4 linked regions of the Notamacropus eugenii genome follow. The protein of the gene in region 1 interacts with the protein of each later gene in a pairwise test. Links are inferred from orthologs where the notes say so. Each region holds a gene or a part of one and is shown in the gene's direction. Other genes may lie near its edges. The genes, in order: APIP, PDZD4, TNPO2 and NUDT18.

Region 1 (7,037 bases):
GAGCTACAGAGGGGCAACGAGAGCCCCACTCCACCCAGCTCCCAAGGAGCTTACACATCCTGCAGGAAAACAACATGCCAAAACAAGTAGAAGAGAAATGCGTCCTAGATCTAGGGTGTTCTTGGTGTAGGGCCTCCTCTACCAATGCAGATCAGTACTTGCTCTGAAACTTACAGTAAGAGAGTTACCTGAGGCCCCAAGTGTAAATGACATGCTTGGGGCACCAAAACTCAGATCTGTCAGTCTCAAGGTCAGCTCTCTGTCCACTGCCCCAGCAGCTTCCAACGAGTTGCTGAGACAGGGCTTTACGAACCTTAAAATACTAAAGAGGGGCAAGCTAGGTGGCACAGTAGATAGAGCACTATCCTTGGAGTCAGAAGATCTGAGTTCAAATTTGACCTCAGACACTTACTAGCTTCATGACCCTGGGCAAGTCACTTAACCTCCTATTGCCTTGAAATATGGTTCAAAAATCTTTTGGGGGAGGAGACCAAAATCTAATGCAAAAGACGTACAAGGTAACTAGGGTTTTTGAGAGGTGTAGGGGTGTGTGTGCAGCAATGTCAAATGACTGGAACAAAAGGTGTACTACATAGTTGGTTTGTTGTTCTTCATTTTCAACCATCACTACTTAAAGGCACGTTTCAGCATGTCTGACTGTGGCTGATCAGACCAATATGAGCTTGGAATGTTCTACCACAGGCTGGGCACAGCTAGTTCCTGTGAACATTTGGGGTGGATACTACAAATGTGCACATCCTGCATTTCCTTTGTACTGTCTCAATTCCGTAGAGCACAGCACCTTCTCTGATGTAGGCACACCACACTAAACAGTCCTATGCCAGTGTCTCTCATGTCACACAATCAATTCTAAAGTTCTTGAGAGAGATCTTAAGAGTGTCCTTGTATCACCTCTGACCACCATGTGATCGCCTGCCCCATACGAATTCTCCATAAAACAGTCTTTTGGGCAAGCACACATTTTGCATTTGAACAAGGCCAGCCCATTGGAGTTGTGCTCTCTGAAGCATAGTTTGAATGCTTGGCAGTTTAGTTTGAGCAAGGACTTCCGTGTCTGGCGCCTTCTCCTGCCAGGTGATCCTCAGAATCTTCCTAAGACAGTTCAAATGGAAGGGATTCGGTTTCTTGGCATGGCTCTGGTAGAGTGTCCATGTTTCACAGGTATACAACAGTGAGGCTATTTGATTCTACAAGTAATTAGGAGTCAATACGGTTCATTGAGCAAAGAGTTCATTAACTGGAGAATGGTCAAATTATGAAAGGAAATAGTTTTATGAAACCTGGGAAGCCTTGTATGGACTGATGCAGGCTCAAGTGAGCTGAATGAGAACAATTCAGAGAACCATTCCCCAACCCACCGGTATCTTAACATCTTCCCTCTCCATCCCCAACCCCTCATCATTCTGTGGCAATGTCTACATCAGGAGCCAAGGAGAGATAGGATGCAGATTCATGGTTCCTCAAGACAGCGGGCAAAGAAGCTATATGATTCCTAAGAGGAGCATCTTCAGTATCCCATCAAAGAGAGAAAAGGACTTCCAGCAACCAGCCTTGACCCTCTAGGTTGCCCATTACACCGTTTTGGGGAAATGCCCAGGCTGACCATCCTTCCCTTTCTCTGCCCTGTCCCCCTCCATGCCTCAGGTAGGTCCTGGCTACCCACTTCCACAGCCTTCTCTCCCCCTGTCCTTTCAACCCCCCCTTCCCACAGGGCAGGCCCCCGCAGCTACCTCCACCAGGAGCTCTCCTGGGCATGTCCTCTCCCCACCTCCACCCTTTCCATTGCCTTTTCTCATTCTATCCTTCCCCATTTACACTTGTCTACCAAGCACCCTGGCACACGGCTCCAACTTAATGCATGGTTGACTGGACGATGGCATTTTTACGGGGTGCCACCAAATACCACCGAAGCCCGGTGATTATCTCCTAATGGAAGAAAGAGCCTGTGAACAGAGTAAGGCAGACGTCTTGACCTGCAGCCAAAGCGGATTTGTATACCTTTTTAAAATAAGGACAGTTTTTTCCCCTTAAACTGGGGTGTTTGGTGGCCACTAACAGTGTGAATGATGGGAGCAGCCCTTCTGCCTTTGTCTTCAACAGGAAGGGCTGACGATGACAGCGGCGGGCTGGTGGTGGCAGAGCCGGGCACGTGGCGGGCACTTGGACCGACACCACACTGGAAGGTTTGGCGTGGGCCTCCCACCGGCTCTGGGCGGACCAGCACCCACACGGACCGCATCCTGGGGGTGCTCGGCCCTGGCGGCCAGCGGAGATGATGAGGTGACTGGGAGGGAGGGAGGGCTGCGGGTCACCAGCCTCACTCCTCCTCCTGAGCCATGGGCATCCAGGGACCAAGTGTCCATCAGGATGACCGGAGATGGCCCAGGAGGAGGCAGCTGGGGTTAAGTGACCTGCCCAAGGTCACACAGCTAGTGAGTGTCACGTGTCTGAGGTGAGATTTGCACCCAGGTCCTCCGGACTCCTCCGCTGGGGCTCTACCCACTGCACCACCCGGCCGCCCCTCCTGACCGCGTTCTGCAAACTGAGGCCCAGAGACTCTGAAGTGACATGCCAAGGGTCTCATGCCCAGATTACTTGAACTCAGGACTTCCGGACCCCGAGTCCGGCGGCGCTGCAGGAGGGGGGGTAGTTGGTAACAGAATCACAAGCCGGAGGAGGCGGGGCCTGGGCTCAGTGACCTCTACGGTCGCCTCCGGCTCCAGGCCGCTAGGCCGCGGCCCTCGAGTCCGCTCCGCCCCCAGAATAAAGAGGGGAGGCCCGCCCTCGCACTCAGCCCCCGGAGGCCGCGGCCTGTTCCGCCTGGTCCGGCCGGGCGCTCCGGCTCCCGCGGGGGCCCAGCCCGGGGACCGGGATGATCCGCCCCCTCCTCCGCTGCACTCACCCCGCAGCCACGCTGAGCCATGGAGCCCCCGGCGTGGGCCGTCGCGGCCGAGCCACGTCACGACCGCCTTGGCTCGCCGGCCGCTCGCGGAGCCCAGGAGGTAGCGTAGCGCCCCGCGGCCGCAGCCCAGCCTCAAGGAGGCCGCCATCTTTGCCGGCGGGCGGGCGAGCGTCCTCCGGGGTCCTCAGAGTCGTCCTTCTTCAGCGCCACGCTCAGTCCTGATTGGTCTGCGCTCCGCGGCGCCCCGCCCATGACCCCACCCCCAAGCTGACCGCCGCCCTGCCTGAGTGAAAAAGCAGAGCTATCGGGAAAGGCTCTGGAAGGAGGTCCCGCGGTGTGGCCCGGGTGAGCCATGAGCACGTGCCGAGCTCCGGAGGGCCGCTGCTGCTATCACGGCGGCCTAGTGGAGGTAGGAGAGGAAGCGGTCGAGCATGGTCATTATTATAATAATGGGCCAGGGGCAAGAGGAGGAAGAGGAGGAGGAAACGGAGGCGCACGGCCCCCGGGCGGGACCGGACCGGGGAGGGGCCGTGCGGAGGCCGCTGTGGAGGCGGAGTCTGCGCATGCTCACTGCCTTCCTCCCGCCCCTAGTGCCCGCTGTTTCTCTTAGCGTTCCTTCGCGATCCCCAGCTTCCTCCCACACCGCTGGGTGACCTCCGTGGGAGTCCAGGCGCGGTGGTCCGCGTGGATTCTAAAGTGGGGACCCGGAGAGAGAAGGCTGTGGAGGCCTCTGCTCCCCTCCGGCGCTGGGCTCCCGTGGTGACCGCCTCTGCGGCACCCACCCCATGCCCCGCGGGGCCTCGGACCCGCCCCCCCCCCCCCGTGCCCGGCGGGGCCTCGGACCCGCCCCCCCCATGCCCCGCGGGGCCTCGGACCCGCCCCCCCCCCGTGCACGGCGGGGCCTCGGACCCGCCCCCCTCCCCGTGCCCCGCGGGGCCTCGGACCCGCCCCCCCCCCCCGTGCCCCGCGGGGCCTCGGACCCGCCCCCCCCCCCCGTGCCCCGCGGGGCCTCGGACCCGCCCCCCCCCGTGCCCCGCGGGGCCTCGGACCCGCCCCCCCCCCCCCCCGTGCCCCGCGGGGCCTCGGACCCGCTCCCCGTGCCCCGTGGATGCCCGCTCCCTCTCCGTCTTGGCAGCTCACGGGCTAGTACAGCAGGCGCTCCCCACGGCGGGCGCTGCGGTCGAGGGTCCGGAGTTACTGTTTGGGTCTCGGTCTCTCCAGTGCCTGGCACGTGGCGGGCACCCGTGTGGGTTCTTGAGTTCCCGTGAATCCCGTGAGAGGAGGGTGGTCCGTGCCCCCGATGGGGGAGAGAGAAGGAGCACACGATACGGTCTCTGCCATCCGTGGCCCTGGACCACAGCGTGCCAGCCCCGTCAGTGGCAAAGACACCAGAGTGTGTCACCAGTCGCTTCTCCGTTGCATGAAGGCAGGCAGATAAAGTGACTTGCCCAGGGTCACGCAGTCAGTCAGCGGCTGAGGCCAGGTTCGAGTTCAGGGCTTCCTGGCTCCAGGCCTGGCACTCCATCCACTGAGCCATTCAGCATTAAGCAGCTTTTACCACGTGCTAGGCAGGGCACCTGAGGACAAAACATGAAGCAGGTCCTGCTTTCGGGGAGCTTGTTCTCTGCTTGGTAGGATCAGCACGCATGCGGTGACTTAAGGGGGAAGACCACCGGCAGCTCTGACAGTCAGGACAGGCTTCCCCTAGGAGGGGGCGCTGAAAGTGAACTTTGATTGAATGAAACAAGGAAGTGTCAGAGATGGGAATGAGGAGAAACAGCTTGTACGGAATGCCAGAGAGACCAGGGATGGATTGTTGACAAGCAGCAAGCAGGCCAGTTCGTCAAGGCCGGGGAATGCTCGAGGCAAACCTGCTTTCTCCAGTGGGTTCAACTGTAGGTGTACCAGGGCCGACCTGGAGAATGATGTCACCCAGGTGGCCTTTGGAGAGGAATGGATGGTAATGGTGAGAGGCCAGCATACAGTACTGATTTAAGAGTGGGGTTCAGGGGCCAGAGCAGGTGTTCTACCCCAATTAGAGGTTTGGGCAGGAGTGCACAAGTAGAGATGGAATAATGGGTGCTTAATCAACGCGTTTTGAATGACCAGCTGATTGGTCTTTGGAATGGAAGAAAATTGCAAAGGTTGAGAAGGGGCCAGGTTATGAAGAACTTTAAATGCCAAACAAAGAACTTTATGATTCTGGAGACAATAGGGAGCCATTAAGGTTTCTTGAGTGACGGACTACATGATAAGACCTACACTTTTTGTAGGGAGAAGTTAAAAGATTTGACAAATGATTAGATAGGTGAGGTGGATAGGAGAGAGGAGTTGAAGATGACACCAAGGTGTTGAAAAAATGGGAGGATGGTGGTGCTTTGGACAGTAACAGAGAAGTTACAGACAACGGGAAGAGTTTGAGGGGGAAAGGTAATGGGTTCTGTCTTGGGCATGTTGAATTTGAGGTGCCTGTAGGACAGCCGGTTTGAAATGTCCTGGAGGCATTTTCAAAGCTGGAGGAGAACTGGAGAGACTAGGCCTGGAGAATTTGGGAATGATCTGTATGGAGCTTATGAGCTCCCCTAATGAGAGAGTATAGAGACCAGAGAAGAGGCACCCAGAATGCCCTGCATGGAGATCCAGCCAGAGAGACTGGAGGAGCAGTGGAGAACGAGGTCAAGGAGGATGAGGAGTGAGAAAAGCCCCCTGAATTTGGCCCATGTGAGATCACTGCTAACATTGGGGAGAGCAGTTTTAAGTGAGAGATGAGGCTATGAGAAGAGAGGGAGAGCCCCAATTGTACACCATTTCCTTCAGATTTTAACCCCAAAAGGGAGTGTAACTGAGAAGAAGAGGAGGAGTGACCACAGAAGAGACCAGTCAGAACTTTGACCTGTTGAGCCTTTTCCCTGTCTAGTGGGGGCGGGGAGGAAAGCCTGGTCACTCCCAAGGGCCAAAGCACTTGCTGACCTTTTCCCATTCCAAGCCTCACCCCCTCCTCCCATGACCACTAGTACTTACAAAGAGATCTGATGGGAGAGGGAGGTTCTTCAGGGGACTCACTCATCCCCTGGGCTAAAGTCTCTCTGGGATTGCAAAGGATCTCCTCCTATGCCTTATCTGCTGCAGGAATGCTTCTACTGCAGAGCCTGGGGTAGGACATTGATCATCTGTGACTGCAGCAGCCTCAGGAAAGCATCAGCTAGGCATTTCTTCCCCCTCTCTCTTCTGGGTCTCTTTCTCCTTATTTGGGGCCATGAAAGGAAATAGAGGTAAAAAGCTCACCTCTTAAAAGGAAGCACCTCTGGTTACCCGTCTTAGCCAAGAAGTTACAAAACAATAAATGTTTACTAAACATTTGGTGACACAAATAAAGATAGTCCCTGCCCCCAAGGAGCTTACAATCCATTGAGGGAAGACATCACAAAAGGAAACTGTAGTGGGGGGGGACACCCCAGGTGCTGGGCCATGTGGATGGTGGATTTAGATCCAAGGGTTGTAGTTTGTGGGAAAGGAAGAGTTGTCTGGACCAAGGCACCCCCTTTCAGTGGAGGCTTTGTTGGTTTTGTCCCACTCTTCTGCGCAGGGCTGCTGAGGATACTTACTGGTGTAAGTAACAATACTGATATCTGTGATGATGAGCTGAGCGGGTGGAAAGGATTGTGATGATGAAGTGAATCCTAGAATAAAGAAAAGGGTCCTGTGCAAAGTTTAATTGTTTATTTTCCAGGATGTTTCTGTTTGATGAATAATGCCTATTATGATTGGATATTCAGTAAATATTTTACCTATTTAAAAGTGTCTTGAGTGTACACCCTAATGCACAACTACATGTTTTAATTTGTTTAGCATATGGGTTTTTGTTTTGTTTTCCTAATGTGGATGGTTAGTCTTTCCCTGAAGAAACAGCATCCTAGGGGCTTGATGAAATTAGTTTAGTGTCACCTGAAAATAGGGATATTTAGAGAACGTTGATTTCAAGCAAATGCTTGTTTGTGTTTGGGAGTTCTCTCAGTTAAAAAACTGAGAACTCTTTGAAAAGGCACGCTGGTTAGCTGGCGTCTGATGACTGTGGGCCAAAGACTGGAGGCCAAACAGAAAGCAAAATTATTTA
Region 2 (7,848 bases), on another chromosome or scaffold:
AAGAGACAGAGAGAGAGAGACAGCTGGACTTTGGAGTCACTGGAGAACTCCCTCAAACCTCCTTTCCTGGCATGCCAGGACACGGTGACATGGCTTAGCTTACTTTCTTCATGTTACCTCTTGCTGTGGCCTCTGGTCAATTGGCCTCTGCTCTGCTGTCCATCCTTTGGTTACAGCAGAAGCTCCAGATTGGCCCTGATCCTACCACCCTCATTGACTCTAGGCTTGCTGCTAGCCCCCCTCCTTCTTGGTTTTTGCTATCCCCACTTGTAAGTTTGAAGGCCTGAAAGCCCTGGGCTGTCAGCTTCAAGCAGCTGGAGCTTTTGATTTCTTCTTTCTTTCTTTTTTCCCAGCTCCAGCTAATCCCACTTTCTGAGACTGATGAGGGGAACAGGGCTTCTGCTGAGGCGCCACAGAGCCTGGGAGGGCACCTGCTCAGAATTTCCAAGCAGCTGGGAGCCTACTTCCCCCTCCCCTGGCCCCTTAGGTCCCCTCTTCTATCATATCTATAATCTCCATATCCCTTCCGTAACCCCCACCATCAGCCCATCCTCATCTGCTTTCCCCTCAAGGCCTCCTTTTTTCCCATCTTTGATGTTTGCCCCTCCTGCCCTGGACTCCCACCTGGGCTGTGCCTCATCCAGGACTCTGTGCAGTGAGCCTAGGGGCAGGTCTCAACCTAACCTTAGAGCTTGGAGGGAAGAAATAGGTGGACATTTAGTAATTGTTTAAGAAGACAGATCACTCATTCCCTACCCAAAGGTACTGAAACTCTGCAGAACATCCCCTTGCATCATATATCTCTTCTCCTTTAGTCTAAGACACAAACCTTCCAATTCCCTACCCCCACCTGCCCCCACAATGACTACCTGGCCCCCAGGATAGAAACCCAGAAATCAGCCCAAGATGGAGAGTGGCTTTGAGGGAAGTTCCCAAAAGGCCCCTCTGTTCTGAGGTGGAGCATGAGGGGGTGGGGACAGGAACAGCTTTCGTTTGTGGTTCCTAAGGACCTCAGCTCCCCAGGAGGTCGCATCCCATTCAGATTCTTCCAGGGCACTCTGGTTTCCTCTAGGTTTTCAGACCTTTCTCTACCCCTTGGCTTAAGAACCTAAGAACAAGTACCCCTGATCCTCTTCTTCCATTGCCCTTGTCTCCCAGGAGCATGAGCTGCAGGTCCATGCCTCTTGCCCTTCCATCACTCTCAGACACACAAGGCAGACCACAAGTATACTCCATTTCCATCCTTCAAGGGATCTTGGTTTCCTTTGCTTGGGGGTAGGGGTGGGCCAGTACTTCCTCCAACAGTATAGACTCACTTACCTTTTCTTATCCTGTGCTACTCTTGGCACTTGATAAATCAACAAACACTTAAGTTGCTGCTGTGGGCCAGATGCTATGCTCAGTGCTGGGGAGAGAAGTCAAGCCAAGACATCAAGCTATCATAGCTATCTACTATGTGCAGATGAAAATGAAATAGTCCCTGCCCTCAAGGAACTTAGATTCTATTGGGAAGATCCCATGTACACATAGAAATAAATGCAAAACATATACAAATATCCTACTCTACAGAATAAATGCAAAGGAATTTTTTGAAGGGAAACACAAGAAGCTGGGGAAAACAGAAAAGGTCTCAAGCAGGAGGTGACATGGGAGAAAAGTCGTGAAGCCTGAAGACAGAAGATAGAATGAATGCTGTGTGTGAAGAAGCCCAGTTCACCGAGGGGAGTGCGTAAATAGGCGTAATGTGTAATAAGCCTGGAATGGTGGGTTTGGGGCCAGATCTAAAGGGCTTTAATCACCAAACAGAGGATTTTGTTTGATCCAATGGGCAGCAGGAAACTAGTGGAATTTATGGAGCAAGAGGATGATGCAGATCTGATCTGTACTTTAGGAAAATCACTTAGGCAGCTCTATGGAGGATGGATTGGAGAAAAAAAGGAACTGGAAATAAGGAGAACAATAAGGAGACTCTTACAATAGTCCAGGCAACAAGCGATGAGGGCTTGAATTAGAGTGATGGCTGTGTAAATGGAGAAAAGGGAAATGTGGAGGTAGACTTGGCAAGACGTGGCAATGGACTGGACAGTGGGCTGGGTGAGAGTGAAGAGTTAAGGATGACTGAGGCTGTGAACCTGAAAAATGGCATTGATGGTGGTGCATAAGTGGATTTTTGGGGGGAGGGAAAAGAAATTGAGGTTTTGGGGGGGATATGTTGAGTTTGAGATGTCTACAGAACACTGAGTTTGAAATGTACAAAAGGTGATTGGTAACGCGAAAATGGAGTTTAAGAGAGAGATTAGGGTTGGATGTATTTAGGACTTGCAATTATCTATACAGAGATGGTAGAGGAGCTGATGAAGTCTTCAAAAGAGAGGGGAAGGCCCAGGACACAAGTACACCCACAATTAAGGAGTGGGATACGGATTGTGATCCAGCAAATAGATAGGAAACAGTCAGGTAGAAGAACCAAGAGAGAAAAGTATCATGAAAACTTCCAAAAGAGAGAGTATCCAGGAATAGAGGGTAGTCAACATCATTAAATACTACAGAGGACTCAAAAAAAGACAAGCAGTTTAGTAAAAAGGCCATGGGATCTGACAATGAAAAGATCTCTTTGAAGAGAGAAATTTTCGGTGAGTGATGAGGTGGATAAGACCTTGGAGTCTAACTACTCCAACCTTCTCATTTTACTTCTTTCATGAATTTTATTTTTTTATTCTGAACTTAAACACCCCAACTCCCCCTCCAAATATTTCCATATACACAGCAGAGCAGAAAAAGAAGCTTGTATATGAAACTGAGTCTCCATTTCATACCACTTGCTTTAAAAGCAAAACACCATATACTAACTTCATGTGTTACTTTCAGAACTTGTCTGTGTTTTTTCCTTTTATTTTTTGTTTTAAAAAAATGTTTCAATGGCCCTCTTTTAGGTGGAATTGCTAACCTTGACTCTCCCTCACATTAAAACCAAAGAAAGATTCCTGTAACAAATCCAGGAGGTGGTCATGTCCAAAATGTCTCTTTCTATGGGCTGCATCCTTTCTGTAAGGAGGCACAACCCTCTCATTATACCGAAAAGAAAACAGTCCCAGCGAAGGGAATAAACTGACTCTTAGGGATTTAGAGCTGGATTTAGAGCTGGAAAGGACCTCCTTCAGAGGCCATATTGTCGATTTTACAAAGGTGGAAACTGAGGTTCAGTGAGGTTAAATGCCTTGCTCAAGGTAACATTAGTTTAAGCCAAAGTTAGAACTCAGGCCTCCTGACTCCTAGAGTTACATAACTCAGCTTTTGTAGTCTCTATTGGCCATCTCCCAGTTTCTGCTCTAGAAGCGTACTTTTCAGATGGCTTAGTCTGGACTGATTCCCTTAGGATTCCCTCATGGAAAGGGAGTTGAGGTACCTTGGGGGGTGGGGTGGGGGGCGGATTGACTCCAAAGCTTTCGTTCGAACCTTTTGAAGGCCTGATATGCCATTCCAGGGTTCAATGAAGTGACTGATCTAGTGCAACGCACTGTTCTTGGAGTGACCACGGCTGCCTAAGTCACTTCTCGTTTTAAGAACTTCCCATTTCTCACCCGTAAAGGCAACTCCGTAAGGCTGGAGTTGCACTGGTTCGAGGGAGCTTTTTCTCCAAAGGACATCACAGGGCTGGTCCAAACAAAAATGGGACAGATGACTATCCTTGCCCTGTCTACCTACCTCCCCCGGCTGGGGGTGGGGGTGGGGAGCGCATAGACGCAAGTTCTTAGAGAAGAAAAAAAATGACAACCCATCAGCCAAGGCAATGAATCAGGGATGCTGAGGGAAGGAGCAGTTATGTAGAAGAAGAAAGGCAGGCAAGAGAGAGGAGAGATGTCGACGGGGAGAAGCTGAGACAGAGAGATTATAGCTGGGAACGGTGGGGGACCCAAAGCCAGACCAGAAACAGGGTTCCTAGTGGCCCCTCGACTCCCCTAGTTTCCAGACTCCTTTCATCGAAGACAGTAAAGGAGATTGGGGAGCAGGGGGCGGGGGAAGCACGAGGGATCGATCTCAGGAGGTGGTGCCCTCTCCCCCAGGTCCGCCTTGCACAGGCGGGGTGGGTGCACTGAGACACTACCCTCCACCCCTTCACGCCGTCGGGGGTGCTACAGAAAGGGCGAGGGCAGGGCGTGAGCGCCAGTAGGGTTACAAGCCAGGCGGGAAGCAGAGAGCAGCCCACCCCCCACCCCCACCCCAGGTCGAAAGGGGCTCCAGGTGTCTTTCTCCACCCCACCATCTCCCCCTCCCCTCCCGGACTCGGAGTGCGCCTGCGCGCTGCTCCCCCTCCCCCTCGGCTGGCGAGCGCCCTACAGTCAGGGAGAGAGGAGGAGAGAGGGCGGGGGAGACGGGGCGGCCGGAGCGCAGGCGAGGCGCTGGGCTGTCGGAGACGTTGCCTTCGCCGCCGCCTCCTGCTGCGTGGCGGGACCAGCCGGACCGGGCCGAGCCGGGTCAAGGCGGTGCCGGCGGACGCGGGCAGGAGCCCTCTTGGGAGGGCCCCTGCCAACCCGCCCTTGGGTCCGTCTGCTCAGGCAGGGAGGGGGCGGCCGTTGCTAGGCAACACTCGTTTCGGCCCGCCCGCCTGCCCTCTCGTCCTCCCTCCCTTGGGCCTCGAGCCCCTCTCCTCGCGCTCGGCCCCTCCACGAGGGCCAGGGGAGCATGCCCCCCTGGCTGGGCTGCGGCCCGCGCAGCACGCCTGGGAGGAGGGGCCAGGGGCGCGCCCCCCTCCCCCGCTGAGCGCGGCCCCGCCCCCGAGCCGCGCCATGGCCCCCCCGCCCGGCGGCCCGGGAGCCCCCGGCTCCCCACCAGCCCTGCGGCTGGACCAGTGAGCCCCGGAGTCGCCTGCCCGCCGCCAGCCGCCAGCCGCCCCCCAACCTCCCTCCCCACCCCATCCCCCGGCTGGCACCATGGGATGTAACATGTGTGTGGTCCAGAAGCCAGAGGAGCAGTACAAAGTGATGCTGCAGGTAAGGGGTCTGGGCCGGGGGGAGCTCCCGGGGAGATGAGGAGGGGGAGTCAAACTGGGCCCAGTCGGGGTTCGGGAGGGGTGAAGGCCTAGAATTCTAGTGCAGTTTATCAGAAATCCCGCAGAAGTTGTGGGGTGGGATGCCACCGTCTAAGTGGAAGAAGGGGGCATCATTTTGGGCATCTGTGCGGGAGCCTTGAAACAAAACCACGCGGGGCGCGTGGATTGTCCGATATGGGCATGGATTAATGGGCCCTTGCTAAAGAACATTCACTTTAGGATTGGGGAGCACGGAGTAAGAGGTCCAACTGAAAATGGGAAGCCAGGGCAGGATGGGGATGGTTGCATAGCAACGAGTTCATTTCCCAGCAACCCCCCCCACACCTTCACACACACACACACACACACACACACACACACACACACACACACACACACACACACACACACAATGTGTCACCCAACGTGTGGGGAAGGCACTCTTACCTAGAGGGGAGAAAGAAGAAATGAGAATAAGTAATAAATAAAGACACAGGCTAGCCAGGATGACAAGGACACACCGACTCCTCTTCGCTCCAACCCACAAAGAGCAAGTTTCCCTCTGGGGCTAGGCTAGATGGTTTTATCAGCCTTAATGGTCTGCAGGTATTTCCGAGGAAATAGAATGCTGAGTATACACACGCCCAAGAGCACATAATGATAAGCCACCTCCGCTTCCTCGAATGCCCAGGGTTCTTAAGTGTCTAGCCGAGAGCGGCAAAGTACAAGAGCACAATTGTTTGTGTTTGCCACATTTCTCCCAAGATTTCAGTCCCCACACGTAGAGATTGAGGAACAGGAGCTGTTAATGTACATGTTATGGATCAAGTACATTTGTGCTTATAGTATTCAATGAGCATGATTCGGGTATCGGCCATAATACAGAACAGAGAAAAAGAGAAAAGCACCATCTCTGTCCAATCAGCTTGCAAGCTTAAACTAGAGAGGGAAGATACTGACAAGAATGTGTCTCTAATAGCCTGTATATCCTGTTGGTGTGCAGAAAGGTGTGCTTATGTGTCTGTACTTGTATATGATATGTTTAGTGTGTATATGTATATATATATACATATATAATATATTAAAGCCGGGCATGTGTATCTGTTTATACACTGTATATGCAGTGTATGAATTTAGACATTTCATAATACTTAACACAGGTACCTTTTACATATACTGTACATTCATGTATATATATGATCAATGTATTATGGTATACGTGTGTTTATATTCTTTACATATATGCATATGTGTCCATATGGTACATACTGTGTGGGCACGTAGACATACTAATGTATGTATGCTTTCTGTGTTGGGGTGTAATTTGTTTCTAAAAAATTAGTCACCCATGGCCAATCCAAACTCCCTAGGGTAATGTTCCCAATATTGACAGAGGTCATAGTTGGGTAGTGGCTTAAATAGAGTCTGGGGTCAGAGCAGACTCAAAGGCAGAAGATGAGAGAAAGATGCTTTCTTAACCAGCTTTGAGTTCTTTAACTACCCATGTCCCGTCTGTTAGGGTTTAGATGGAAGAGGGTGGGGAATGTGAAAGACTAGATGTGGCCTGAGGCATGGGGAGATTTGCTATACAGAGAGAGAGAAAAGAGAGATTTCTCTGCTGAAAAGGGTGGGGGAAACAACATCATGAAATCTGTTTTAAAAAACAGAAAAGATACCACTGTGAAGGAAGTATGGTACATAGACCTGGGGTTTAGTAGGGTGGAACTAAGCCTAATGGATAGATCCAAAATTGATGTTTGGAACCGAATTCCTTTGACCTGAAGAGAATAAAAAATGAACAGGTAAATGTTGCCTTGTAGGAATGTGTTCATTTTCCTTTTCTTTCCGTTTCTTTTGTCTTCTTGTACTCTTTCTACCTGTTTCTCTTGATCTATTTCTAATTTCTCTTGTTCAATTTCTGTCTGACTGCCCCTCCCCTTTCCTACTTTCTTCCTGCTATCATGCTATCTCTCTTTCTCTTGGTCTCACCCACTCCAAATCTTGCCTTTGTGGCTGAGATTTGACACCATTGTGAGAGCGATGCAGGAAATTCACAACCTGGAAATACACAGGCTATTCTTCAGAATCAGTGTTGTTCTCAGGGCATACTGGAAGGAGGTGGGGTGGTGGGGTGTTGTAGTGATAGCTTGGTGGTGGTGTAATGAACACCAGCCTTCCTGTTTCAATGTCTAGAATCATTCCAAATGGAAACCAATTCCTTTCTCACTGAATCTTCACTGATAGTGATAGGAAAGACACTGGAGGGAATGATTCCTTTATAGGACAAAGACCAGAGGAGTGTGTGTGTGTGTGTGTGTGTGTGTGTGTGTGTGTGTGTGTGTGTGTGTGTGTGAGAGAGAGAGAGAGAGAGAGAGAGAGAGAGAGAGAGAGAGAGAGAGAGAGAGAGAGAAAGAGAGAGAGAGAGAGAGAGAGATCTTGAGGTGGGGCAAGGGACATAGATTCCATGTTTATTATTAATTAGGACAATGAAGGGGAAAGGAGAAGGAATTCTCTTAACTAAAGATGGTTAGTGTGAATATTTTGCAGGATCATAACACCCCTCTGCTTTGAACATTCAATAAATATTTGGGTAAAAAATTCCTTGGGTTGGGAGGAAGAATCAGAATTTAAGGTTTAGAGACTTTGAACTAAACAAGGGTTCATGGCTGAGTCACATTATAGAGTCCAGGCTTTGTCACATACTAGCCTCTCTCAGCCTTGGTTTCCCCATCTGCAAAATGGGGAAAATTATGCTTGCAGTACTTACTTCTGAGGGTTGTTGTGAAGCTCAGATGAGATAATATTCGTGAAGTACTTGG
Region 3 (7,834 bases), on another chromosome or scaffold:
GAGGATCCAAAATATCAGGCTTATTAGTAAAAGTTGCCTAGTTTTCATTGTCCCACCAGCAAAGGCCCAAGCAGAGGGGACCAATGTAATTTGTTCCTCCTGCACTCTTACCACCCCGAACCTCACTGGGCTTTAGCCACAGTGAATATTTGATTCCTGGAATTAGGATTTGAAATGCTTCCTCTCCCATCACCTGTAGGGGAAGCTTCAGATACTGGGCTCCAGGACTCAGCATTATGGGACTGAGAAAAATATTAGCTTTCAGGATCATCTTTAAAAACTCAGCAGTAAAAACAGTCCATAGTGGGGTGGGGGAGGAGACTAGTTACTTGATTTGAAAAAGAGACTTTGAGCTAGGGACACTGAAGTGTCAGCTTGGTCTGTCTCAGGGCAGGATATCCATGGAACAACCTCCTCCAGTGCGTGCCAGCCTAGCTTCAGCATTCTTTGGCATGTTCCCCAAATGTGAAAAATGTCTAGCTCCAGTGGTTGCTGCTTTTCCCCTGGGGCTCACCTGAGTAGGCCCGGGGGACATGTTGGCTGCCAGGCTCCAAATTCAGCTTGTCTCATAGGAGGAAAGCAGGGCTGCATCCACTGGCTCCATGCAAGAGGGACATGTGAGAGAGCGCATGAGCCAGTCATCAATGCAGTGGACGTGGTAGGTGTGCAGGCATGGCAAGAAGCGTATGGCATCCCCATACACAAAGTCCAACATGCAGATCACACACCTGCAGGGACCAGGGATGGATGAATGTATAGCACTGGTTCTCACCCTCCACCCCTCCACCCCCACCCCCAATTCCCCTCCACTCCCAGGCCATTCCAGCCCAGCATCTCAGCTCCGATTGCCACTGAGGCCTCCCTCCGTGTACCCAGCCTTGAACTACACTGTTGATTGAGGAGACATTAGGGCCTGCCTTCAAGTATCTCAGCCTGGGAGAGACAAGGAATGGCAGACTTTGGCCTTGCTCTCAGGGATCTGTCTAGAGAAAACAGAAAAGTATCTGATCCTGGCCCTGCCCTTTAGTTCATAGTTTGGGAGAGACCCAAAACCTTGCCCTTTAAGAGCTGCCAGAACTGGGGTGATGTGGGGAGTGGGGTGGACATGGACAGTGAGCTCCAAAAACAACCCTATTGGGGTTGAGCTCAAGGATCCAGTCAAGAACACAATGGGTGTGTCTTAGGAGCCTGAGTGTTTCCCCAGACTTCCCTCCTAAAAAGAAAAAGATTGAGAGGCCTCAGTGAGGGGTCTCAGATTTCTGCTCCCTGAAGGCTGCATGTCTACAGCAACATTCCCTTCAGGAAGGAGCCTGGGGCATCCTCATCCTGTTTCCCACCCTTACTCTTTCATTTTCTTTTCGGACCCCTCAGAGCCGGGGTCGAAGATGCCCTTGGGTAGGTGCTGGATGAGGCCAATTCTCTGGGCGATGCGGATCTGCTCCTCCTCTGTGAGCTGTGTGGCCAGTCGGCTCTGGCTTGGAGATGGGTGGTACACTGGGATTGGCTCCCGTGCCTGGGGGGGATGGGGACAGGATGTACATGGCAACTTGTCTCTGGGGAACTCATCTTTCAAACTGCCTGTGTCTAGTCCCCTATCAGGGCCTCAGGTTGTCTAGCTCGAAGTCTGCTTTAAGGGGATCTATGAGCTTTGTACCCTCTGAACCTCCTCTGCCATTCCCTAGGGATCCTAAATACAATATCAAGTGCACCACACTATGAATGGGACTAATTCCTCCATGCACATAGCCCTACCTCAGTCCATCACTGTCTCTACATCTCATCATACAATCTAGCACTGGAGAGGCCTGAGAGACTATTTAATCCGACCCTTTCATTTTCTAGAGAAGAAAATACAGGGGAAGGGACTTAGCCAAGTTCACATGGCTAGTAACTGATGTAGGTTTTCTTTTCTGAATCCTATGCCGTTTCCACTGCCTAATGATCTTATTCAGTAGGAGGACTTCTGTGTTTCTTTGGTTTTGGGATTCCTAGAGTCAGTCCTCCTGCCCCCAGTCCTGACCTGCCCTGGTTTGGCAAACTCCAGGGTTCCCCCTCTGCCAACCCAGTTCTATTCCATTTCTCTCTGCTCTACCATGTCTTATAGGGTGAAAAGAGTAGATTCCAAAGATTTCCTCCCTCTCCAACTAAGCCTGACCCTCAGGGTCGTTGAATTTGACAGTCCACAGTCTGGCCTGACCCTTGAAGGTGTAGGTGGTATTGGTTACCCAGGGTTTTTCTCTTTCACCACTCTTGGGGATGGTGGGTGATGGTGGGTGAGATGCCTCAGGTCCCTTATGCCTGACTTTGCTGGTGGCTGGAATTGGGTGGCTGGTGGTGGATTCTCAAGGTCCCCTGTTCCCAGTCCTGCTCTGTCTCTGGGGCAGTAGGTGGGTAGTGGCAGATGCGAGAGTTGCCCTGGTTAAGGCTGTGCCTAGGCTTTCTGGCCGTCCTCGCAGATACTCCCCAGCCCTGGCTGCCTCTCTGGGGCACTAGCGGGGTTGGGGGTGGCAGATGCCCAGGGTCCTCCTGTGCCCAGCCCTCCCCTGCCTCTCTGGGGATCAGGGAGTGGCAGATGCCCCGGCTCCCAGCCCGGCCCGGCCGGCGCGGTGCTCACCCTGCTGGGAGGCGGGGGCGGTGGCGGCGGCGGCGGCGGATCCCCGGGAAAGCTGCTCCCGTCTCTGGAGTCGTTAAGCAGCGACAGGTCGTCTGCGGCTCCGGCCCCCGCCTCGTCCCCAGCTCCGGTGCCGGACCGCTGCGACGACAGACAGTTCCCCATGCCCGGCCCGGCCCGCTCAGCGGCGGCCGAGGCCCCTACTTCCAGGCTTCCAGACTCCGAAGTCCGTTCCAGCTTGGGAGACCCCGGACAGGCCGAGCCTCGCCATCCCCTCTCCACTGCCCAGGCTCTTGGCCCAACTTGGACTCACCGCTGTTTACAGCCCCAGCCGGAAGTGCGGCAGCTCGAGGCGCAGAGGGTCGTGGGAGTTGTAGTTGCGGGTGAGCTCGGGGACGGAGCGTGAAATTGATCGAGGAGCAGGGTTAGTCGTGCGCATGTGCACGCGCAGGTGAGGTTCCTCCATTTGCTTCCGTGAGGGCGGAGGGAGAAGATCGGGAACATGTGTTCTTGCTTCTGGTTTGCGCTGAGTCCCCAAAGCTCCGTAGACCAAGCACACCTAAGGTGACTTCAGAAGTGACCAGGGAACATGTTTGAACTGCATCCTGTCTTCCATTGTAATTATTCATGGATCTTATCTCCCTTGGGGGTTTGTGACCTCCCAGTCTGGGACTGATCTCATTCTTTCACCCTTGTCGCCTCCTGCCAGGGGCGATGAGATTTGATGCCCTAGTTTTGAGAAATATTTGCAGAAAGAATGAAGACTAAGGCCTTGAGCCCTGGATAGGATAAAAGAGGAAAAATATCTTCTGTCTTCCCTCCCTCATCCTTATGGCAGTCCTTTCATTGCAGCAAGCAGGAGCTTTCATCCCTTGTCCTACCCTATTGCCCCCTTCAGAATCCTTCTGTAAACCCAGGAGGATTCCAGGGAAGTGCAGAGCCTTCCTTGGGCCTAAACTGCAAAGACTGGGCACACCGGGAAGTTCAAAGGATCGTGACTTAGAACCCCCTTTATTTTAGAGATAAGGAAACAGACAAGGAAGGAGATCTTTATCTAAAGTTACACAGTAGAGCAACGATTAAATTTCAGAATCTTTGACCTCAAATTGCTCTTTTCTCTGTACTCTCTTCTAACTGTAGGATGAGGGCCATAATCCTAATTTATACTGTGGATTGTTTCTTTTAATTCAAGTACACACACACACCCCTCTCCCGGAGTCTAATCACCCTAATTTCCTTCTCCACTCTGGCTGGCCTCCTCAGTTACAATGGCCAGCTCACTCTCCCTGAGGCCTTTCTGTTCATTGTGCCCATCTTACTTTCCTCCTTTTCTATTTCCTAAGCATTGGAATGTTTCAAAATATGTGATGGATGGCAGCGATGGGGGGAGGGAGAGAAGACGAATAAATTAGATCTCCACCCCAGGGTGAGGACACAGAACAAACAAAATGCCAACGACCTTCTCATACACCTGCCTGGCCTGAGTTTTAGGAAGCTGGCAGCTGAAACAGTGAGGGGAGGGATGCAAGAAGGGAGAAAGGACAAGAATCAGGGAGGTTTGGGGGAAGGTAAGGGGTAGAAGTAGGTAAGGCTGTGTGTATATGAAGCCTGGAATCACAGAACTCTGAGTTGGAAGGGATCTTCAGTCATTTCCTCCATTTGATCTAGAAGGAAACAAGCCGAGTCAGGGAATTTGGAAGGCCAGTCTAGAACAGGAGCGAATACAGCATCCAGAGTGTCCCAGCTCCTAGACCTGTATTATCCACAGGGTCATAGACCGAGCACTGGAAGTGATCCGGTTCAACCCCCCTCATTTTTCATTCACATTAGGGACCTGAGACCCTGACAGGTTTATTGATTGGTCCAAAGTCATAAAGCAGGTGGCAGCAGAGCTGGACCTCGGGAAGAGGGGGAGAAATGGAGCATGGAGAACGGGTGGCCCTGAATAGGAAACGAGCCCGGCGCTTTCTCTTGAGGATGATGACGGGGGGCTCCTGCACTCCTCACAGGACCCAGGGGCGCCTCAGGTGCCAGGCCCCAGGGCAGGTGCCAGCGGAGAGCAGTAAACGAGAGACTGGAGGACCGAAGGCCAGAGAGACGCAAGAAGTAGCGGTCTCCCCCGTCACGTGACAATCCCTCCTCTGGTTCCGCTTGGTCGCGACCGCCGGTCACGTGACCTCACTCGAGGCCGTGCTCCGCCTCTCCTTCTTTTCCCACCAGCGCTCGCCGCCCTTCGCCTCCCTTCCTCCTCTCCAGTCACTGGGACCGTCCATCGTCTTGATTGGCTGGGGGGAGACAGTTTGAACGGCGGACGGAAGCCGCTGCGGCTCAGGCCAAGTCGCGTTCTTTTTTTTTTTATTCGCTTCCTCGCTCCTCCCCGTGTGTGTCTCGGGAGAAGCCGCAGAACGAGGAGTCGCCGCCGCCGCCGCCGCCGCCGCCGCCGCCGCATCTGCCGCCGTCGTCGCCGCTGTCCCGGTCACCGTCGGGTCCTGGTGAGTGGCTCGGCCTGAGCCCTGATCGGGGCTGTCGGCCGCGGCCTGTGGGGGGGGAGCAGGCGCGCCGGGGCCGGGGCTGGGCCTGGGGGAGCGGCCAGGCCTGTTCGAGGGCCCGGGGCCGGAGAGAGCGGGACAAGGAGCGAGGGGGTGGCTGGGCGCGGCGGCAGCGGGCCGGCCCGATGGGGCCGAGGAGGGCCGAGGCCTCAGCCCGGCGTGCACCCACCTCCCGGCATCTCCCCTCCCCCCACGCCTTGTCGCCTTGGCCCCGGCCCGGCCCCGGAGGGGCCCCGGCCCTCCCTTTCCTCCCCGGAGCCGGCGCTTCGGGGGCCCCCAGCTGCGAACAAGGTGTGGGGGGGTTAATCACCTCAGGCTTTCGGGTGTTCTGTTGCTCCCCCATCTTCCCACGTGGCCCAGGGGGCTTTTCTGCCTCCTCATCCCTCCCTCCCCCGGGGGGTGGGGGGCAGCCCTGATGTCCACTTGGGTGACCAGGAACTGCCCAGAAGAATCTAATCTGCCTTCTTTTCCCTTCCGGACCGCAATTTAGACCATCCCCCCACCATGGACTGGCAGCCAGATGAACAGGGCCTTCAGCAGGTCCTCCAGCTCCTCAAGGACTCCCAGTCCCCCAACACGGCCACTCAGCGAGTTGTCCAGGACGTATCCTTTGGCTGGCTGACCCCTCTATTGTCTTAAAAGACAGAGAGAATGGAGGGACCTAGGACTGTGCATCCTTCCCTTCTCCCAGGCACCGGGGGCCAGGGCTGGCTTAGGTTGTCTGGGCCCTTGGACAGTTACATCCCATTGTGTGGATATATTGTATTCTTTCCCCTAAGTCATCCTTAAGCATTAAAGAGTACCTACCGTTCTGTGCTGTGCCCAGCCAGCACTCTGTCTGACATGGGAGGGGGTAGGTGAGAGAAGAGCCCATAATACAACAGAAAAACTGCTAGAATTTTAGTCAGAGATCCTTTCTACAACTTCTAGTCACTTCTCACTGAGTCTTGGTTTCCTCCTCTTGAAATCAAAAAGCTGCACTTACATGATATCTAACTCTACCTCCTCTGATCTTGGAGGGAGAGACCATGAGATCATAGCTCTAGAATTGAAAAGAAACTTAGTGGTGATCAAGTCTAACTCTCTACTTTTACAAATGAGGAAACTGAGGCTCAGAGAGGGCATATGACTTGGACAAGGTCACAAATTTTAGTCTGAGCTGTTATTTGAACCTAAGATCTCAAGTTTTATATTTTATCCTCTCTACCAGACTGCCTCTTTAAGAGCTCTGGAGGTGCCAGGGATTGAATATGTGCTCTACCACTGAGCTAAATCCTCTCTAGATATTCCTGCGGAAATTCTCATCTACAGGGAAGAAAGGTACAGAGTAGAATCCAGGGCAGTTAGGAAATATTCAATCTCCCCATTGATTGGGGGCCAATAAAGCTTGTCTGGGGGTTGTCCATATAGTAGGATGATGACCATTAAGGATGGATGGGTTTTTTTAAACAAACATAGTAGGTATTAGGAAGTAGTGAGTGTCTCAGGGGTCTGATTTTTATCTTTTTTGATATCTAACTCCTCACCTGTGTTATCTAGAAGGGTCGGTACTGAATTGGCTTAGTCCTTAATGTTGCCCTACAGAAACTAAAGCAGCTAAACCAATTTCCTGACTTTAACAACTACTTGATTTTTGTCCTGACGAGATTGAAGTCAGAAGGTAAGTCTGGATTGGCTTTGGACTGATTCCTTCTGCCCCTCTTGCTTTCCTGTCTCTGGCCTAAGGGTTAAGGGGTCTCATGGCCCCATCTACTTGAGATCAGCAAGTCCAAATCAGTAGACATTTATCAGGCACCTGTTGTGGTTAAATCATTTCACTGAGGATACAGTGATGAAAAATGGAACAATTCCTATACTTGAGGCATATCAGTGTAATAGAAGTCATACATAAACAAGTAGGATATGAAATAGAATGTGATATAGAGACAATGAAATCCAGGGAGGTGGGGGAGTTCCTGCAGAAATGGAATCAGGGAAGGCTTCATGAGAAGATGGAGATGAACAAGCCAAGCAGAGGCATAGGGGATAGCCTTTGAATATGAAGGTACAAGGGATCAGCACACCTTGTTCTGCTTATAGTACAGTGTGACTGGAATGCAGAACATTTGGATGTGAGAGGGCCATAATATGAAATGTACCTGCAAAGGTAGATTGGAGCCCTTTCTCCCTTACCAGTGCAGCAAACTGACAGGTATGTTGTGCCAACTGGATCTCTTTGGTTTTTCAGTGTAACCTTGGATCCTGCCATTCCTCAGGGCCTGGGTGATAATTCTGGCTCACAGGAATTGAGCCCCTTAGAATTTCTGATCCAGTATTTTCCTCAATCCCTTTCCCCAGATGAACCAACACGCTCCCTCAGTGGCCTCATTCTGAAGAACAATGTGAAGGCACATTACCAGAGCTTTCCCCCACCAGTGGCTGACTTTATAAAGCAAGAGTGTCTCAACAATATTGGTGATGCCTCCTCACTCATCCGAGCCACTATTGGTAAGGTGGGGGTGAGTGGGGGGAGCTATACTGGGTGAGGATGCTGTCTCCTCCATTTCCCTCCACCTCTGTCCTTGCATGCCCTACCTCAAGGCAGGCATAGCTTCATGGAATTTCCTTCTTCCCTTCCCACTAGGTATCCTTATCACTACCATTGCTTCCAAGGGAGAGCTCCAGATGTGGCCAG
Region 4 (7,346 bases), on another chromosome or scaffold:
CTGACTCACTGCCCCAGGACTCCCTGTTCTTGGCTAATGGGTTGACCCTGGGAGCCTTGAAAGAATCTGAATGGAGAATAGGTGGTGAGCTCTATGGTGGGCAATCCCTTATTAATTAATGAATCCATCACAGAACACCTACTGTGTGCCCAAGCCTATAGCCTCAGTAAGAATAGAAGAGGGTCTCTGTTGTGAGCGTGCTCCAAAATGCAAGTGCAGACAGGGAGAGTCTGGGCAAAGAGCCAAGGGAAGAAAGACAAGTGTGAACATGGGAATCCTTACAGGCAGAAGCAGCCTTTGGCGGTCACTGGACCAGGTAAGATGGATCAGATGCTTGAGGGTAAGGGGTGGGGAACACAGAAAGAGAACGGGAAGAATGTGGTGGGCATAGACTTTGTCCTGGGCACTGAGTGGACCCATAAAAAAATCCCAAAAGAATTCCCCCCAAAATGTGGACGCAGATGAGGAAGACTAGGAACTAGGACCACAGCTCTGAGCATTTACCCTAGGGGGCTCTTTGGGTACCCTCCCCTTCTTCTTCACTTAGCCATCATTTAATTCAACTCAATTCAATGAAACAAAGATTTATAACCTCTTCATCCTTCAAGTCTCAGCTCTGGAAAGTCAGATATCTATTTTATCTTTCTTTACAATGCTCTACTTAACAACAGATTAAATTTTTTTTCAATGAATGAATGAATGAGCAAACAAATGGTGAGTGAATGGGTAAGTATGGCAAAGAATTGATGAGTCATGAATAAATGATTAAATAGATGAGTGAACAAGTGAATGAGGAAATGTGCTAATGAGTAAATAAATGAGGGAAAAAGAGCTGTCCTCAATGAGTTTTTATCACCGGTCCAGAAGAACTACTCCCAGAGTAAAATAACTTGTAATGTGAGTGCTTAGCTATGGTTGATCATCTCTGAAAAATTTTGTAGAATGGGAAAGGTGCTGTAGAGTGGATACAAAGCTGGTTGAATGACTGTACTTTGCTTGCACTGATGTCTGAAGTTTAATGGCCACAGACAGGGATGTCCTAGCATTTAACAAACACTTCTTTGGAGAAGAAAAAGCACATTGGATACACTTTTGGTTTTAATCTGAATTATTAACATTTTCTCCATAACTTTCTTAAATCTGGACAATCTACAAAATGAGAAGTCAAGTCCTGGTTTGTAGCATTTTCCTAGTCAGTATGAACTGTCTCCACTGACTACAGGGATTTGTCATATCCACAACTCAACTCAATAAACATTTATTATAAATTATAAATAAAACATTTGTTAAGCCTCTACTTTGTGCTAAGTACAAAGACAAAAATGAAACAGACTCTGACCTTAATGAACTTATGTTTTATTGTGGGGAAAGAACATATATATGTGTGTATGTGTATGTATACACACATGCACACATGTATATACACATACATATATGCACACATATATGTATATATACAGATAAGCAAATGTGAAAAATATACAGTAAGCACAATCAGTGAGTCAATAATTATTTAATAATAGTTAGCATTTGTACATAGCACTTTAGGGTTGGCAAAGTGCTTTACAATTGTTATCTTACTTGATCCTCACAACAACCCTGGAAGGTTGGTGCTATTTTCATTTCTATTTTACAGATGAGGAAACTGAGGCAGTGAGAGGTTAAATTACTTGCTGGCTCACACACTTGGATTTGAACTCAGGTCTTCCTGACTCCAGACTCAGTGCTCTATCTATTGTGCCACTTAGCTGGTCAGAAAGGTGGCCAGCACTGTACTAAGTGCTGGAGATTAAAAAAAAGAGAGACAAGAAAAAAGAGACAAGCCCTTCCCTCAAGGGCCTAATTCTAATGGGATTAATGTAATTAATGGGATTAATCTAATGGGATTTTAATGGGAGAGAGTAGATGTAAATAACTAGGTACATACGAGAGAGAGAGAGAGAGAGAGAGAGAGAGAGAGAGAGAGAGAGAGAGAGAGAGAGAGAGAGAGAAAGTAATCTGACGGGGGGGGGGGGGGGGGGGGGGGAGCGAGGGGGAAGGGCCATTGAGAAAGTGGAATTTGAGTTGAAGAGCATTCCAGGCATGGGGGCAGCCAGTGCAAAGGCACAGAGGTGGGAGATGAATGTCTTATTCAAGGAAATAACTTCAAAGAGGCCATTGTTTCTGGATCATGAGGGGGAGTAGGGTATAAGAAGACTGGAAAGTTAGCAATGGGCCAAGTTGTAAGAGGCTTTCAATACCATAGGATTTTATATTTGATTCTGGAGGTAATAGGGAGGCATTGCAGCTTTCTGATCAAGGGGGTGACATGGCCCCCTGTATTTCATGAAAATAATTTGGCAGTGATTGAAGGATGGATTGGATTGGAAAGAGACCTGAGGCAGGGAAACCACTACCAGGAGACTGGTGATGAGGGCCTGGATGGCTGCATGAGTAGAAAGAAGGGGATGTGCTGGACAGATATTGAGAAGTGAGAAATGACAAGACATGGCAATGGACTGGATATATAGGGTGAGGGAAAGTGAGGAAGGGGAGATATGCTGAGATTTGAGAGCCTGGGTGACTGGAAGAATGGTGGTGAGTCTCTCCCCCACTCCCACACCTAAGACTGAAGGAATAGTGAATTTATTAAGCCCTTACTATGTACAAAGCTCTATGCTAAGTGCATAGGGAAGTCTGGAAGAAGAGGATTTGGGGAAAAGAAAATGAATTCTATTTTGGAAAGGTTGAGTTTGAGATGCCTAGAGGCATCACAAAAACCTGGGGAGGTAGGTGCACTTATGATCCCCATATCACAGATGACAGAGAAGTTTAATGACTTGATGTAGGTATTTGTGGAGGGGGTGGTTAGAGATTTGGAGAGCAGAAAACAGAATAAAGTTGAACTGGTTTTACTCTAATGTGAACACTGGGAAAGAAGGTAAATAGGGCCACAGTACTGGCTGAGGAAATGGGAGAACTGGCATTGCAGACTCAGGTGAGGAAGAGCACTTTAAGAGGGGTGAAGCTTGGGGAAGGGTGGAGAGGTTTGGGTCAGACAGGGGAATTTGGGGATTCTGGTATAACCAACATTCATGGATGATGATGCCATTGACGGATGCCCAGACTTTGGCCCTGTGCTGTTTTCAGATTTTTATCAATGACTTGGATGAAGGTATAACTGGTTTGCTTATCAGATCTGTAGATGACATAAAGATGGAAGGGAGAGTGGTTGGGTGACAAGAACCAGGAGCCTATTCAGGGCATTTGGACCGGAGCTATGGTTTCACTGATACAGTAACCCTAATATGAGGAAACTCCCTATGTCAAAGAAAGTCAACGCTTTGGCTTATTATAGTCCCAGCTGCCAAGGGCGCCTAGAGGTGAAATGACTGGTCCTGGTTCCCCTAGCCGATGTGTCGGAAGGCTAATAGCAGTCATGAGAATGAGCATTCATACTGCAATTCAAGGTCTGCAAGGTCCTTCACAAACATTACACCACTGGATCTTCACAGTCCGGAGAGGTCTGTGCTACGTTACCTCCATTTTACAGATGAGGAAACTGAGGCAGGCAGTTCAGTGACTTGCCCGGGGCCACTCCGGTATCGCAATAACCCTTCCAAGTTCGCCAGGTGCTTTATAAATGCCATCTCACCTGGCGCTGGGAGGTGGGCGCTCTTCCCCTCACGTCCCGAGGACGGAGCAGGTGGGACTTTAAGGCTGGTCTCCTGACCCCGGGCCGGCGCTCTGGCTACCGCACCGGGAGAGCGCGGGAGCCAGACTCTGGACCAGCCGAACGGACCAGGTAACGACCGTCCGCCCCTCCCAGCCCGCGGCCCGCGGGATGCTCTCCGCGGTGACGCGGCCCGGCAGAGCCCCAGGCTGCCCGGCACGTCCAGGGCTGCACGGACGCGCGTAAAGCCACTCGCAGGATCAGACACGCAGAGGCGCGGGGGGGGTGGCGGGGTCAGGCGCCTGTTCGTGAGAAGGCTCGCGGCCCCCGGGGGCGCGCGTGGGCAGACCAGCGCTAGCCCCGAGCTCGGAGGCCAGGGGCACCCCGCGGCCGCGACTTGGGGGTAGACAAAGACAAGCGTTCGGTTCGCAAGCGTCCAAATTCCAAGGACTACCGGGCGCGGTGGGGGCGGGGAAGGAATCGGAGCTGCGGGCTCGAGCCGGCTCCCAGCGTCCGAAGGGCCGACCTGGGGAAAGGCACTGACCCAGTTCTGAGGGGCGCCAGGCGATGCAGGGGGCAGCTTTAGGGGTGCCCGAGGGAGGAGGGCGGCAGTGGCTGCGTCGGACTGGGGTGCAGGGGGGAGGGCGAAGTAGACAGCGGGGGTGCGGTAGGCAAAGGTCAGGGGGAGCTGTCACCGCTTTTTTGTGACGTCACTCCGAAGCCGTCCTAGGCCTCACCCACCCGCCTCTGTGGGTGACGTCATCTGCTATCCGCAGGGGGCGGTGACGTCATCACGCCGCCGGAGGGAGAAGCGAAGGGGGCAGCGCAAGCAGGGAAAGCGGAAGTCTGAGCGGTCACTCCTCAGACTCGGCTCCTTTAAGAACAGTCTCCACCTCCGGAAGGCCAATGGCCAATGGAGGGGCCGGGACGGCTAACGTCATAACAGCGGGGGTGGGGAGGGCACGCCTGGGTCTCCCGGGAGAGGTGGGGCCGGAGGAGGGAACCCGAGCAGGCCCTGATTTCCCCTCCCCCTCTAACTCCCCCCACTCGTCCGACTGGGCCTGAGCCTTCCCGAGGGCCGATTCTGGCCTTGACCCTGACCTTGACCTTGCCCTCTCTGCGCCCTTAGCCCCTAGCTCCAGTCTGTCCCGTGTGTCCCCCGGGATCCGTTTCCTTTGAACCCAAATTTTCCATCTTGGTTCCTGGGGCTCCACCTGAGTCCAGAGTCCCTGCTCCACCCCAACCACACCCCCCCACGTGATCCAGTCTGGGTCTCAGCCTCTCCCCTGCATCCCTCCCCACCCCCACCCTCCACCCCCGCCCTTGCCAATGGCATCCTCAGGCCTGGCAGGGGACCTGAGGGCCGTGCTGGGGGGCCAGGGGCTGCCGGTGCTGGACTATGACTCTGTACCGCTAAAGGTCTCACCTGTGCCCGTGCAGCTCAGGAAGAATGTCTCCTATATCGTGCTGGCTGTCTTCTTCAACGACCAGGTGAGAGGCAGCCAGGACCCTGACTCCAAAGTCTTTGGGACCCCAGACACCCCAAGATAGAGGACCCCAGAGCCCGGGCCCATGTAACCCATGGGCTTAGGAAGGAGAGACGAGGAGAGGCCCCCCTCATTGGCGAGGTGCTGACCCCGTTTTCATTCAGCATTGTATTACGTGCCCTGCAGGAGTGACACCCAAAGAAGTCTAACATTCACCCCAAACATTGACTGAGTGTCTGCTGGGCACAGCGCACCGCGCTGGCTGCCACAGGGTGCAAGCACGGAGAATTCTAGTCACCATTTATTGATTAAACACTCGCTCACCGTAAGCTAAGGAGACCGAGAGGAGAAACAAGATACCATCCCTACCCTCAGGGAGCTCACCTGTCGGCACTTGCAGGTGGGAGTGTGATAAACGTATAGGAAAGATGCAGACCAAACGTTTAGAGAAAGCTCCATGACTGGCTCCATGAGCCGGGTCTTGAATAAAGAGGGAAACCTTAGCAGTTGTCCAGCTGTTCAGGAAGGATTTAGTAAGCACCCACTATGTGCCACATGTTGGGGTTACAGAGATAAAAAGATAAAACTGTCCCTGCCCTCAGGGGTTTGTATTCTACTCGGGGGAAATAAATGCTTATTGAATAGATATAGGGGGAGGAGAGTGAGAACAGGCATTTATTAAACATCTACTGTGTACCACATGCTGAGGTTATCCAAAGATAAAAGGACAAAACACATCCTGCCTTCAAGGGGCTTATATTTTATTGGGGTAAATAAATGTTTATTGAACTGACATGGGGAGATTAGAACAGGTATTTTTTAAACCACTGCTGTGTGCCAAGCACTTTACAAATATCGTCTTGTTTGATCCCCACAACAACCCTGGGAGGTAAGTACCACCATTGTCCTCATGTTACTGTTGAGGAAACTTCGGTAGATAGAGGTTAAGTGACTCGACTAGGGTCGCACATAGTAAATACCAGAGGTCAAATTTGAACTCAGATCTTCCTGACTGCAGACCTAGTGATCTATTACCACTTAGCTGCCTCAAGGGGAGGAGGAATAACTAAAGATTACTGAGGTTTACGGTCTTTTGTGACTGGGAGGGTGTTAGTATTATTAACAGAAATACAGAAATCAAGAAGGGCAGGTTTTGGAGGTAGGATGATGAGTTCAGTTTAGGACACACTGACTTTGAAGTCCTGACAGGACATCTTGATATGGGAGGTACCCACAGGCAATTGGAAGCCTTGGATTGGCATGCATGGGAGGATCAAATCTAGAGATAAAGATTTGGGAGTCATCTGCCTTGGGGTGAAAATGGGAGCCATGAAAGTTGATGAAATCATCAAGGGAAACTTTATAGAAAGACAGGCAGATCCTGAGAGAAACAGAGAGTGGAAAGGGGAGGGGGGGAGAGGCAGATCCTGAAAGATACAGAGAAACAGGAGAGGAGAGAGGGGCAGATACTAAGAGAGGGAAAGAGAGAGAGGCAGAGTTGAGAAAGGAAGAGAAAGAGACAGTGATGGGGGTGGGACAGAGAGAGAGAGAGAGAGGGAGGGAGGGAAGGAGAAAGAGAGAGAGAGGGAGAGAGAGAGAGAGAGACAGAGACAGAGAGAGAGAGACAGAGAGAGAGAGGCAGATACTAAGAGATAGATATTGAGACAGAAGAGTCAGTTACTGGGAGATGGGAGAGATACTGAGGAAAAAGAGAAGTGAGGAACCTCCTCCCTCCACCCACCCTGTTTTTCAGGAGCTGGAAGAGGAGCCACCAGAGAGAGAGATTAAAAAGTGAATGGTCAAAAGGCAAGTTTAGAAGTGCATAACTATTCTTTCTAAAGAGGAAAGAAGAATAGTTTGAGGGCATAGCTGATTTAGAAGGGTGTTTGTTTGTTTTTAAGTTAGGAGAAACCTGGATATGTTTGTAAGTAAAGGAAAGGCGTCACTAAAGAGGAAGAGACCAAAGATGGGAGAATATACATTTGATGCAGGTCCTGAAGAAGGAGGGAGGAGATGGGCCCAGGTGGCCAGAAAGGGAGGTCACCTCTTCCTCAGAGACCAGAGGAAAGGAACTGGGCCTGGGTCTGGGTATTACCACAGACTTTGAGGTGTGGAAGAGGGAAATTGAGGGAAGTTTCAGGCAGATGACCACCTAAGATTGGGGCCAACTACTGACAGTGAGTGGGATAGATTAGAATTGGGGGGTT

What was found.
Region 2: the proteins of APIP (region 1) and PDZD4 interact in a two-hybrid assay, tested with the Homo sapiens proteins (2 studies listed by BioGRID and IntAct). The two-hybrid records come from large-scale screens. The link is inferred for Notamacropus eugenii from reciprocal best matches to the Homo sapiens genes APIP and PDZD4.
Region 3: the proteins of APIP (region 1) and TNPO2 interact in binary tests that used the Homo sapiens proteins (3 or more experiments, as listed by UniProt). The two-hybrid records come from large-scale screens. The link is inferred for Notamacropus eugenii from reciprocal best matches to the Homo sapiens genes APIP and TNPO2.
Region 4: the proteins of APIP (region 1) and NUDT18 interact in binary tests that used the Homo sapiens proteins (3 or more experiments, as listed by UniProt). The two-hybrid records come from large-scale screens. The link is inferred for Notamacropus eugenii from reciprocal best matches to the Homo sapiens genes APIP and NUDT18.

Annotation. Positions count from the first base shown.
Region 1 is NC_092877.1:16,507,394-16,514,430, forward strand, and holds the start of APIP (methylthioribulose-1-phosphate dehydratase), read left to right. Parts: upstream 1-4,034; 5' UTR 4,035-4,661; coding exon 4,662-4,889; intron 4,890-7,037. Other genes in the region: PDHX (pyruvate dehydrogenase protein X component, mitochondrial), read right to left, coding at 2,924-3,071. UniProt on the Homo sapiens protein: Catalyzes the dehydration of methylthioribulose-1-phosphate (MTRu-1-P) into 2,3-diketo-5-methylthiopentyl-1-phosphate (DK-MTP-1-P).
Region 2 is NC_092879.1:22,693,502-22,701,349, reverse strand, and holds the start of PDZD4 (PDZ domain-containing protein 4), read left to right. Parts: upstream 1-4,834; 5' UTR 4,835-4,931; coding exon 4,932-4,991; intron 4,992-7,848.
Region 3 is NC_092875.1:78,211,846-78,219,679, forward strand, and holds the start of TNPO2 (transportin-2), read left to right. Parts: upstream 1-4,818; 5' UTR 4,819-5,103; intron 5,104-5,650; 5' UTR 5,651-5,664; coding exon 5,665-5,763; intron 5,764-6,744; coding exon 6,745-6,820; intron 6,821-7,497; coding exon 7,498-7,647; intron 7,648-7,783; coding exon 7,784-7,834. Other genes in the region: RING finger protein 11-like, read right to left, coding at 557-728, 1,344-1,513, 2,615-2,776. UniProt on the Homo sapiens protein: Probably functions in nuclear protein import as nuclear transport receptor. Serves as receptor for nuclear localization signals (NLS) in cargo substrates.
Region 4 is NC_092872.1:612,589,982-612,597,327, forward strand, and holds the start of NUDT18 (8-oxo-dGDP phosphatase NUDT18), read left to right. Parts: upstream 1-4,340; 5' UTR 4,341-4,545; coding exon of another isoform or gene 4,546-4,593; 5' UTR 4,594-4,981; coding exon 4,982-5,143; intron 5,144-5,149; exon of another isoform or gene 5,150-5,539; intron 5,540-5,545; exon of another isoform or gene 5,546-6,028; intron 6,029-6,892; exon of another isoform or gene 6,893-6,945; intron 6,946-7,346. Other genes in the region: uncharacterized protein, read right to left, coding at 3,635-4,340, 4,546-4,593. UniProt on the Homo sapiens protein: Mediates the hydrolysis of oxidized nucleoside diphosphate derivatives. Hydrolyzes 8-oxo-7,8-dihydroguanine (8-oxo-Gua)-containing deoxyribo- and ribonucleoside diphosphates to the monophosphates. Hydrolyzes 8-oxo-dGDP and 8-oxo-GDP with the same efficiencies.